Linked DNA regions of Mus musculus. The protein of the gene in region 1 purifies or fractionates together with the protein of each later gene. This does not show direct contact. Links are inferred from orthologs where the notes say so. Each region holds a gene or a part of one and is shown on either strand. Other genes may lie near its edges.

Region 1 (6,083 bases):
CTGCCTAGACACTCATTCACATGAAACAAACAAACAAAAAAAAGTATTTATATAAATTAAGTCAAACCTCACAAAAACTAGAGGAACATAAACTCCCAACAGTCAATAAAAAAAAAAAACTGTACAAGACTGGTCAGTCTCTTATATCTGGAAAATGTGTAACATAAAAAAGTTCTTTATCATATATATATATATATATATTATATATGTCTTTGCATAAGTGTTAGCTGGAGTGAAAACTGGAGGATTCTGACTCCGTGGAGACGGAAGAGTGTCCACCCCGCTTTCCTTTGGAAAGGATCTTGAGGCTGGAGCCTCTGCTCATGGAGTTGAGTGCATGCTGGGCAGAGCTTTTGAACTTGGCCCCGAGGAAGGCATAGAGGATGGGGTTCAGGCAACAGTGGAAGAAGGCGAGGGCCTCTGTGATGGAGATCCACTTGTGCACGATGCTCTCGAAGTCACATCCTTGCTTGATGACCCCCAAAAGGATGAAGGAGTCGATGCTGATCCCCACATAATATGGCAGCCAGCAGGCAAAGAAAGCTAGGATGAGGATGACTGTCGTCTTGAGGGCCTTGCGCTTCTGGTGGCCCTTGGAGTGTGACAGCTTAGAGATGATGATGCAGTAACAGGAGAGGATGACGATGCCGGGCAGGACGAGACCCACCATTATATGCTGGAATTGAAACACCACCATCCACAGGCTATCGGGGTAAAGGCGGTCACAGATGTACCTGTCATCCCCCTGACTGATGTCCCCCTGGCTGACGTCGGCAAAGATGAAGTCAGGTATAGTCAGGAGGAGGGCTGGGATCCAGACGCCCACATAGACTGCCTTTTCAGCCAGCAGTTTCCTTGGCCTCTGACTGTTGGTGGCGTGGACAATAGCGAGGTACCGGTCCAGGCTGATGAAGGCCAGGATGAGAACGCTGCTGTAGAGGTTGACAGTGTAGATGATATGGACAGCCTTACACAAAAATTTCCCAAAGTACCAGTCAGCCATGGCATCAACTGCCCAGAAGGGGAGTGTGATGACAAAGAGGAGGTCAGCCACTGACAGGTGCAGCCGGTACTTGTCCGTCATGCTCCTTAGCTTCTTCTGGTAACCCATGACCAGGATCACCAATCCATTGCCGACTATGCCAGTCAAGAAGATGATGAAGTAGATGGTGGGCAGGAAGATCCTATTGAAATGGACGTTTTCATCCCGGAAGCAGGGTTCCTTGTTGGAGTCATAGTCTCCAGAACCCACTTCTTCAGAGTAGTTATCAGAAGTGTATATCTGCAAAGGAAACAGGGACAGACAACGTCACTTCAAGGTCAGCAAGCCTTCCCAATTTTTAAGTGTTTCTGTTGCCTAAAAAGCTAGTATTGATTGCAGGTTTTAACACAACCTTTCCCAGGAAACTCCAAAGGGCTGGTTAAGGTCCAGAGAGAACACAGAATCCTGCAACCAATGGTGTTCTCCATCTTCCACCAGTCACTTGTTATATGCCCTCTTTAGTGGAACCAATTAGGAGAGTCTTTGCTTAGAACAAAAGGACATTGAGAGTCTAAGGACTTCACAGCTTAGTCTTGAATAGCTCTCCTGCCCCGCCCACGAGAGGAAAGGACAAAAAAAAAACCTCGGAGGAAAAAAAGTAAAGCCCCCCCCAACCACAAACAAACAAACAAAAACCCAAGCCAAAAAAACCCACAACCAAACCAAACAAACAAATCCTCCATTCAAACAAAGAAGTCACTCTCAAAACTGTGTGCGGTGGTATCCAGCGGCGTGGGGTTAAAGTCTGTGTTGAAGGAGATGGGATTTCTGTATGAGGATTAGCCAAAGGAGGAAGGAAAGAAAGAAAGAAAGAAAGAAAGAGAGAGAGAGAGAGAGAGAGAGAGAGAGAGAGAGAGAGAGAAAGAAAGAAAGAAAGAAAGAAAGAAAGAAAGAAAGAAAGAAAGAAAGAAAGAAAGAAAGAAAGAAAGAAAGAAAGAAAGAAAGACGGAGCTTGACGGTGGGGGTCCCCCAAAGACTCTTAGCTTTTTAGGCGCAAAACCTTGTTTTTCTCACGTCTGTCTAACACAAACTATTACATTTCGAGTCATGCGTAGTGAAGAAAGCTGGATAATGTGAAGGTCTTTGGGGGTTTAGGGTCAGCAGAGTGTTAGAAAGGAGCAAATAGCACTCCCCTACTTCACCCCGTGCGGCGCTTCTCTGGAAGGTGGGTCTCTCTTGCCAAACCCATGTTTATCACTGGGTGGATCTGGGACGTTAGAGTCACACTGTCCTGGGTGGGGAAAGTCACGGGGTCTGTACCCCGTGGTTTTCGCCCCCAAGTTTCACTTCCTCACTTTCCGGTCGCTTCCCATCCTGCAGCGGACCCAGTTAGTTACTGGAGTCCGAGGTAGGCAGCAGGAGTGGTCCAGACCGTGCGCACCCCGATGTCCGAGTCACCCACCTAGGGGCTGGCACCGTTGCCCATCATACCCAGGTCTACGACCAACACACAGCGGTTCTAGGGGTTCCTCCTGGCTGCGCGCCAGGATCGTTCCTCCGGGTGCGAGCGACAGATTGGGCTGCTCCAGCGCGAGCGCCTTTGAATTGCGCGCCGCCGGAGGAAACGGAAAAAAAAAAAAAAATCACCAAAGAACAAAACCCTCCCTAAGCGAGGGGGTTTCAAAAGGCTCAGGAAACCACCGACGGTTAAACACTGGGGCTCAGTCAAACAGTCTCCGAGCTTGCACCTGTTCATCCCTCCGGCGACCCGGCACAACCCAGGTGCGGTCCCAACATGCCCTCCTGTCCCCAACCGCCGTCATGGCCAGCAGCATCATGGTACAGACTTATGACCCTTTCTCAGGAACGATCCTAAAGGCAAGCCCGACCTCGGGAGGTTCGTTTGCCACTGCGGGGAAGTGGCGGGTCGGATGCCCGCAAAGCGCTGCTGCTCCATCCCAAAGCGACGTTCTCTCCGCGGCTGCCGCAGTTTGTGCCCCCCCTCTAGGCAAGCGACGCGGCAGACTAGCTCACTTTTCCCGCCGAAGACGGGCGCTCCTCTGTCTGCACTATGGAATTTCAGAACCGCACTCCTAACTCCAAGAACCGCTCCAAGACGCTCCGGTTCGAAGCTCACCCAGAATGTAGTGCCTACGCGTGCCGACTAAAGTCTCTAAATTCACACAATGTAAGAAACTCTAAGAAAACTCCTGTTTTCAGGAGGACCAGACGATGGTCTGAGTCTTGGGACAGAGGGCAAGCCCTTCTCCCTTTTTCAAAAAACTGGGACGTTTGCAAACAGCGTGCAAGTCGGCGCGCGCCGCGGGACTCAAGGGGGAGGGAAACAAGAGCAACCTTAGGAAAGCTCCATCTGAACCCGTCCCACTCAACTTACTGGCAAAAATATTCCTATCTTCCTCCCCCTATAGCCATGTTCACACACATAAAAAAAAATTAGTTCCCGCTCCTCCTTGTGACCCTGACACCCCTCAAGGTTTTAGTTGCTTCAACCCGCTCCTTAAAGGGGCTGAGCTCTAAGTTCACACGTTTGCACGTTTACTATAAAGTAGGATGCAAGTGGACTTACACTCACACTGATCGGTTCCATGGCAACACTCGCTCTACAGCCGTGGTGGTTACCGGAGCACCAAACGCCTCAGAGGTTTCACTGCTACCTGCTGCACCAGGCAACAAAATTGAAGTTTCTGGCCCGAACCGGACTTTTATAAAAACACGCTCCCGGGGCGGCGCATGCGCAGCTCGGACGGGGCGGGAGGAGACTGGCGGGGGCGGGGCGCAGGGCGCGGGCAAACAGAAGTCCAAGAGCCACTGCTGTTGTGTTTTAAGTCAGTATGGGTCCAGAGCCTGGCCGGATAATGTTCTCAGAGTTGGGGAAAGCAGGATGCCAGCCAGGGTGTTTCTGCGGGTCGCGCATCCATCCTTACCCACGTGGATAGAATTTTAGACCTGGAGTTTACGGGTGGAGAACTTGAGACAAGACTGGGGATGGGGGTGTGTGACTTGGAGCCTGCCTAACCAGTAGGCGGCAATGTTGGAACCTCCGCCAGGGTTCTATACTCTGAGCTGTCAGGAGTGATTACTACCAAAACTCTTCCAAGCAAGTGTGTGTTACTACATATTCATATAATGACATTAGGGTCAGGTGTGGCAGAAAGCACTTGCGGACCCATCCAGAAGCAGATATACTCCCAGGAAGAAAGTCACAATAGTGGCAACAATTTCGTGAAGAGATTTGGGTGTGTGTGTATGTAAAATGATTGAAATGTGCTTTATTATAAAGAATTGAGCGGCGAGGACTTTGTGTAATCACATCCTAAGAAATCCGCACAGAAACACTGGTTCATTTTCATTTCATAAGCACATAGGGGGATGCATCTAGTTAACAGATAATTACAGAGTCCCAGCTGGGAAGCTAGCCGCGATTCATGCGCAGTCAGTGGGCGCTCCACGAGCTCCAAGAGACCAAATGGAGCAGCCTGGGACTGCAAAGCCTGGCCTGAGCCCAGAGCTTTCGCTTCATGCCTATCTCGCGTCTCCCACGCAGAACACTAAGATGGGAAGTCTTAGTGAAGAGCTAGTTAGGTCAGGTTGGGGGCGTGGATGGCTAGGGAATCTCAGACAGGCTAAGGTTGCAGTGGGCGCCCAGACTGCTTCCCAGGCTCGCGCGGGATCCGACCGGCGCCGAGCCTGGGCTAGGCGGGGAGGGAGAAAAGGGTGGGGTCAGAACCAACCAGACCTCCAGCCAGAGACCGCGGGATCCAATGCCGGGGGCACTGGGGGTGGTGAGACATCCGGCAGCAGGAGCCTGGGTTGCTATGCAACCCAGATACCGCCCCCACCCCCTCCTGGAATGGACCAAAGGATAGGCAGGCCCAGACTGCGCCCTCAACTCCATCCCCGCCCCACTTCTCCCGTTCCTTTTTTGTTTGTTTGTTTGTTTGTTTGTTTGTTTTGTTTGAGGCAGTTTTATGTAGTACAGGCTGGACTCAGGCTCCGTATGTAGTTAAGGATGACCATGAATTTCTGATGATCCCGTTTGTCACCTGCCTAGTACTGGGATTACAGTTGTGTGCCACCACGCCCAATTTTCGTGCTGATAGGGCTTAAATCAGAGCTTTGTGTAGGCTAGGCAAGCAGTCTACTAACTGTACTATCATTTGCACCTCCTTCTTTAGCTAAGGAAGGCTTTCGGTTGGAAGTGCTGGGGAGCTGTTTTACAGCCTGGGAACTCGTCTCTCTCCATCTTCCTGTATGGCCTGGGCACTCTCCTTCAAAATGTGCTGTCAAAGTCCTCTTCTGCCCTGCACTTATGTGATCCAGAAAAGCTAAGGATGAAATTAGGAAGTGCGACCCTCAAAAACTGCTAAGTTAAAAGCCAAGAACTTCCACAAGCACTTTTAATTATATCCAATCATTACTAAAACATAGGCTCATATTTCCATAAACTAGTTAGGACAGACAGAAGAGCCCGTGGACCGGAATATCAGACCCATTAAAAGAGCGCTGGTGTTCAAGATCGGTAGCAGCAGGATGGTGAGCTGTGTCTAGCCTCCAAATTCCTGCATTCCCAAAGGCTAAAATGGGAGAAAGGGAATCTTGCGAACCTGTCCCTGAACGACAGAGAGTACAATCTGAGTAAAATGATTTGCATAATTAATATTTGTTGATTATTGGTGGACAAAAGAAAGCTTCTGCACAGGTCTCTTTAGCTCCTGTGAAGTCTCTTTGCTGGAGGAAAGCAGATAAAACAACAATGACATGCTATTTGGTGACTATAGAATTAGAGAAAAAAAAAGAGAGGGATTTTTTCCCCCTTTCAAAGATAATATTTGGCTTCTGGATTGGAAAAGACCAGCTGTCTCTCGCTTGTCAGTAGCAGGAGTGTGTGTGTGTGTGTGTGTGTGTGTGTGTGTGTGTGTGGTGTTTGAACAGCTTCAGTGAAAAGTATTTTGTATGCAGCCAGAACCTTTTGAGATTAGTAATTCTACCTTTCATGATGTAGCCCCAGGAAACTGCAGTCATGCTACAAAGCTCTTCACGGGGCTGCTGCTGACAATAGTGTTAATAATAGAATAGTTAG
Region 2 (6,268 bases), on another chromosome or scaffold:
AATCCCCAGAACAATAATTTTTTAAAAAGATTTTCTTGGGAGAAGTTTGGAGTATAGCTTTTAACTTTCATCACGTTAGTTTTACCTACTATCATAGAAGTTTTCAATTGAGCTGGGCAGTGGTGGCGCACGCCTTTAGTGCCAGCACTTGGGAGGTAGAAACAGGCGGATTTCTGAATTCGAGAGGCCAGCCTGGTCTATAAAGTGAGTTCCAGGACATCCAGGGCTTCACAGAGAAACCCTGTCTCAAAAAAACCAAAACCAAAACAAACCCAAAAAAGGAGAAGTTTTAAATTATGGGGCTTGGCCAACCAATCTACAAACCTGACTACTTGGGTTCCACCCCTGCCTGATACCTGGATCCCACAGTGGGAGCCGAGAACCAGTTCCTAGAAGTTGTCCTCTGACCTCCACACTTATAAAAATAAATAAAATAGAAATGCAAAACCCATGTAGGCAAGCTGAGTGTGGTAATTCATGCTTGTAATCTCATTACTGGGAAGGTTGAGCGTGAAGCATCCTGAGCATGAGGCCAGTCTGAGTTAGTTAGTGAGAATTTGTCCCCTAAATAAAGAAAAAACTGTAGATAAAGATTATCTGGAACTAGATGACTTGGCTTGGAACCTTGGTTTCTGTGTTAGTGATCTTGGGCCAATTAATAATTTCCTTTATATTCAGTTGTTTTCTGTACAAAATAATAAAGTAACAAAATATATTTATAATATTTGTTAAAATATCTTATAGTATGCCCAGTGACAAGAATCATCTGGGATGCTAGTTTAAAAAACAAAACAAAACGAAACAAGAAACCAACCCAGATTCTCCTAGAGCACACCACTCTCTCAATATTGGGGATAAAATCTTGGGCCTCATCAATGCTATGTAAGTATCTACTAGTGAGTTACATCTTGAGCCAACTCTTACAGCTTAATCCCTAATGTGGCAAACATTGGCTGGAAGTGCAGAAGAACTTTTAAATACTTAAACACACCAAACCAAAACTAAAAAACAAAAACAAAATCCCAAAAACCCAAACCCAGGGTTTCACCACGTAACCTCGGTTGGTCTAGAACTCTCAAGATATTTGGACATGGCTAGCCTTGAACCCACAGAGATCCATTTGTCTCTGTCTTCTAATGGAACCTGAAGCTTGCTGTGTGGTCTAGGGCGTTGACTAGGGAGCTCCTATGTCTGCCCACCACTGTTAGGGGTCCGTTGGTGCCAGCTTTTATATGAATGCTGGGGTTTCAAACATCCTTGTGCTTGCATGGCAAGAGCCTTTACCCACTGAACCATCCTCCCAACTCAGAATCTTTTTTGTTTAATAAACTCAGCACATAATTCATAATATGGTAGTTTCAAAGGTATTTCGAAAAGTTTAAGTGACTTTCTAGATAGTTTCCTTACGAGGAAACAGGATAAACAATAATAGCAAAGTTTGCTAATTATCACGTGCCTCTATTATTACCACTGCACAGCCTATTAATTCGGTAGGATTAGATGTGTTTTGCCTGGGTTAAGAAGTTTAATTTAAGCATCTGAAAAGGTAACCAATGGCATCTTTCACATAGTTTTGTTGTAAACGTTTAGAAGTATGCTTTTCAGTTTTTATAACTCATGCCGCCTTGGCGCTGTCAAGCTGTCACCCTCCTAAGAACTTCCTGTCAAAAGGTGGAGAAAGGAGAATTTGAACCCAAACAGTGTAACTCCAGAAGGATAGAACCGGCACAGTGCTTCATAAATTGTGATTCCTGCTGTTAGGAGTATCAGGAGAGAACTTGATAAAAATGCAGATTATAAAGCAACCCCTATTCCATCCCAGATCTACTGAGTCAGAAACTGGCGGTGGAGCTCAGCAGTCTGTTTTTAAAAGCTGTTCAAGTGATTCTGAGACACGCTAGCATTTGGTAACAGTCTTTAGAGGTCCTGGCGGGGAAGAAGGGGTCAAAAGGAAGGAACGAAAGAAGAAAGGAAAGAAGGGAGAAAGGAAAGGAGAAAGGAAGGAAGAAAAGAAAAAAGCCTTGGAGATGTAGAGAGCAAGGCTTAGTGTCCACTTCACCTGGAGGTGAGGAAAAATGATTTAGGAGGCTGGCGCGCAAGGCCTGCTGGGGCCTGTAGTCCGGACTGCGCCGAGGAGGCCGCGCCTGCGCACTAGGTGTGAAGTAGCTCTAGTCGCTGTAGTCGGGGCTCGGGACCGGCTGCCATCTTAGCGGAGGGACTGAGGAGTCGTCGCCGCCCCGAGTCCCGGTAAACACGCGCAGGCAGACTGGGGTCATTTCTGTGGCTTGGAGGGAGTTTGGATGAAAAGGCATGGGGAATGCGAAGGGTAGAGGAGTGTGGCGCTCGAGTCTGGACCTAGAGCCGGGGCTGCTCTTCCCGCAGCCGGTGTCCGTGGGGGGCGCCCGGAGAGCCGGCTGGTGGCCCGAGCCGAGTGGCGGGTGGGTCAGCAGGTCGAGCCGAACTGCTAGTGCTTGGCCTAGGCGTCCGGAGCCTGTAGGCCCGCGAGCCCCAAGTTGGGAGAGAGCCGAGCCGCGGCGGACGTGGGCAGGGTCCAGCCCCGCGCCCCGCTGCCGCGCCCGGGGGTTCCTCTCCCGCGGCCCGGCCTACGCGCGGGGCCCGGTGGCAGCGGCCCGCCCGCGCGACGTGGCCCTTTGAGGGGCGGCGGCCGGGCCCACCTGCCACCTGGCAGGCTCCCCCCGAGACTTTTCCAAGCTCCCACTCGCAGAGGACCTTCCCCAGTGACTGCTTCCCCTTCTGTCTTGTACTTCCCTCCTCCCTCCATTGTCCCCACTCATGGTGGTCCCGGCCCAGGCCGGCGCCACCGACTTTTGCAGACGTGGAGCTGTCACAGCCCTTTCTACCGAGAGCGTACTTTTCTTGAGCAAAGAAAAAAGTAGAGGTGAGCGCATTTGAAAGGTGGAAGCCCAATGAGGGCAGGACTTTTAAATAGAAGACTTGAGTTTTGAGACATAGTTCCCGGCTGCAACTTCAAGAGAGAAAAAAAATATATAAGGGTCAGTGCACCCGAAGTAGGCATTGGGCCTAAAGTTAGAGATGTGACCAGGTGACTTGCAAAGTACCCCAAATTCACAGTTCCCCACTCGCTTGTTTTCTTGGCTGTGTTAGAATCCTAATCCTGTTGAGACTTCTGTTCCTCTTTAAGCTGCAGTGAACTTGTTCTAAAGGGGGCAGTGGGGAGAAGAGGGAGGTTTTCTTCTTCACAGTTGACAGAACACCATCTAGCCACCCATCATCATTCTCTTAAGTGGGTGGTTCTCCTGTATCCTTATCTTAAGAAAGTAGGTAAAGGCTGTGTATGTTCACTCCCAGGATTGGCAGAGGGCTTGGTTCTCATCTGAAATAAAGTCTTTTGGGGGCAAGTTTGAGATTCAGCCTTGTGTATCACAGGGTTACCTAAGGCTTAATTTTGCAGGTTTAAAAAAGATTGAAATTTTCTTTTGAACAGTGAATATACTTTGTATGTGTGAGTTCAGGAATTCAAACTTCAGATGTCAACAAGGATATATATACTATGAATCCAAAAGCAAGTGCCTAATACTTTTTACTGTATTCTAGAGTAAATTCTACATTCTTTAAAACAAACAAACAAACAAACAAAACAACAACAAAGATTTACTTAAGAGACAGACTGATCCATGGTCCCAAGGTTTGGCCATTAGTGTAATTACAAGAGCTTTTAATTTTTTTGTTTTTGTTTTGAGACATGATTTGCTCTGTATCGCTGACTGGACTAGAACACACTGTGTGTAAACCTAGGCTGGCATCAAACGTCATTCTGTCTTCCTGCCTCTCCCTCCCAAGTGCTGGGATTATAGGTGCTTAACCAACAGAGTGGGCTCGGGAGAAGTTTTGAGATTTGTTTATTTGTGTGTGTGTATGTGTGCATGCGCACACCATGACTTGAGTTGGAAGTCAAGAGTGTTTCCTCTTTCCTGTGTGTTCTAGGGTTCACACTCAGGTCATCAGGCTTGCATAGCAAGTGACTTTCCTTGCTGAGCTATTTTGCTGGACCAGGAGAGATTTTTGAAAGTAGAGTTTTCAGCTCAGTTGGTAGAGTGCTTGTTTACCACACACAAGGCCCAAGTTTATTTAGCTCTCAGAAGCATTGGGAGGTGAGGCCGCCTGAAGTACTTGAGACCCTTTTTAAAAAAGTAGATGCTCTCAGGTCTCAGTTTTGAGATAGAATAGTGGGTCTGGATTGGCTTCTATAACTTTACTTACAGATGGGCTGTAGGTAGTTGGGATGGTTTTGGGAACACTGAGGCAAATCATAGTATGGTTATAACAAAGACAGCACAAAAAGCTTTGAGATGGGGGAGGAAGTGGAAGTGGCCTGTGTGGGATTGTTGAGGGAAGTGGCAAGACCTATGTATGAAGGTCAACATGGTTAGTTCCAGGCCATCACAGCTACCTAGTGGGTCCTGGCTCAAAAAAGGGTTAGTCTATGGACCCGAGGTTCTAGAGCAGTGGTTCTCAAGCTGGGTTTTGGCCCCTTTGGCAAGCCTCTAGCTCCAAAAATATTTACATTGTAATTCATAACAGTAGCAAAATTACAATTATGAAGAAGCAGCAAAAAATAATGTTATGGTTGGAGCTGGTAAGCCCCATGAGGGACTGTACAGCATGAGGAACTGTATTAAAGGGTCACAGCCTTAGGAGGGTTGAGAAGCAGTGGGTTAGAGGATGAGTAGGAATGGGGCAGAGGTGAAGAAAGGGAAGGAAATACCTTACTACCTCGAGGCGTGTGTCAGTTAGGAAGGTGGGAGAAAAGGAGCGCAGGGTGTGGGATGCAGGGGCCTCAGGACCAGGAGGGCAAAAGGACCTGTTCTGGAAAAGCTCTGCGTACAGTGCTAATGCTCGTGAATTTGATGTCGTGAGAGATCAAGGCTTGGGGAAAGGAAGTGGTCTAAGTTGGTGTTTATTTAAAAAAAAAATGGCTCTGATGATAAAAGTGAAAGGGCCAGAGTGACTGTGGCAGAAGTGTCCCTTGTAAGTGACAGGCTGGCCTTGGCTGGGTGTTTCATTTGGCTGAAATAATAAAGTTGCTGTGTCTGTTTTAGGGCTAGTCTGATTGAAGGCTACCTTTTCTCTTAGGATGTGTTCATTAGCATCTTTGAGAAATTAGAATCAGATTAGATGCAATTTGGAAGAGAACTTGAGTTTTGGACTATAATTGATTATTATCAGCACATCAAGCCATGCTTTGTCAATGTGTTTTCCAGTCACAGAGACTTGGTGCTTGAGCTTTATATTTGGAAGAGACTGTCTGTTTTACAGTAGCAAGTATGTTTTAGGTTGTAGGTCAGCTTTGATTGGAAATAACTTCTGGAAGTACTGTTAGTGAGGATTCTGGCCATTGTGGCTTGTGCCTCTAATCCCAGCACTCAGGAATCTGAGTCAGAAGGATTGACAGCCTGGACTACATAGCGAACTCCAGGCCAGTCTGCTTCAATGTGAGGACCCTGTCCCCCTCCCCAAAAGTTGGTTCTGATTATGTTAGTTCACTGGGGAAGTACGTTATGACTGATGTGGTATCTCTAGTGAACAGTTATCTAGTAGGCAGTGTGTGTGTGTGTGTGCATGCACATGCCACGTATACACATATATACGACTTATACTATTCTTACACTGGCCCAATCTCTTAGCTTTCTGTTTTTGTTTTTGACGACAGGGTCTCAGTATACAAACCGGGCTGGTTTTGAATTCACAGAGATCCATCTGCCTGGCTTACATAGATAGATAGATAGATAGATAGATAGATAGATAGATAGATAGATAGATAGATAGTTAGTTCCAGGCCAGCCAGATACACACAATGAGATCTTGTTTCTAAAGGAGAAGAAGGAAGGAGAAGGAGAAGAGAAAAAGTAGAATTTTACCTAAACCTAGGTAAGAGTCAGAGCTAGACTAGAACCGAACGTTACAATTCTGTATTCTTCAGATTCCACAGTGAGTGGATGCTGCTACAAGCATCCGTGTCAGATGAGAAAAAACAAAGACTGCTTCTAGCCTATGGCTGTTTATTGTTTAGATAAGAGTTTAATGAAGCATTTAGCCTAGGTGTAAGCTTAGTTTATCCCTTTTGACTCAGGAAATTGAGTTGGTACTAATAGGAAGCTGCCGTCTGTCAGGTCTCTTTTCTTTCTTGTGCTTTACCTCTCATAGTTTGGGGGTTGGATCCATTGTAAGAACTAAGGCAAAAGTATTTAAGTTTGTTTTTTCTTGTTATATTTATAGTGCCTAGCCA

What was found. Proteins that work in one complex are often made in the same cells at the same time.
Region 2: the proteins of Cxcr4 (region 1) and Itch purify together in Homo sapiens (affinity purification with western blotting; 5 studies listed by BioGRID and IntAct, with this or other methods). This does not show direct contact. The link is inferred for Mus musculus from reciprocal best matches to the Homo sapiens genes CXCR4 and ITCH.

What each region holds. Positions count from the first base shown.
Region 1 is NC_000067.6:128,588,620-128,594,702, forward strand, and holds the start of Cxcr4 (C-X-C chemokine receptor type 4), read right to left. Parts: upstream 3,681-6,083; 5' UTR 3,591-3,680; coding exon 3,570-3,590; intron 2,107-3,569; exon of another isoform or gene 2,092-2,106; coding exon of another isoform or gene 2,080-2,091; intron 1,283-2,079; coding exon 224-1,282; 3' UTR 1-223.
Region 2 is NC_000068.7:155,131,339-155,137,606, forward strand, and holds the start of Itch (E3 ubiquitin-protein ligase Itchy), read left to right. Parts: upstream 1-2,142; 5' UTR 2,143-2,247; intron 2,248-6,268. UniProt on the Homo sapiens protein: Acts as an Acts as an E3 ubiquitin-protein ligase which accepts ubiquitin from an E2 ubiquitin-conjugating enzyme in the form of a thioester and then directly transfers the ubiquitin to targeted substrates.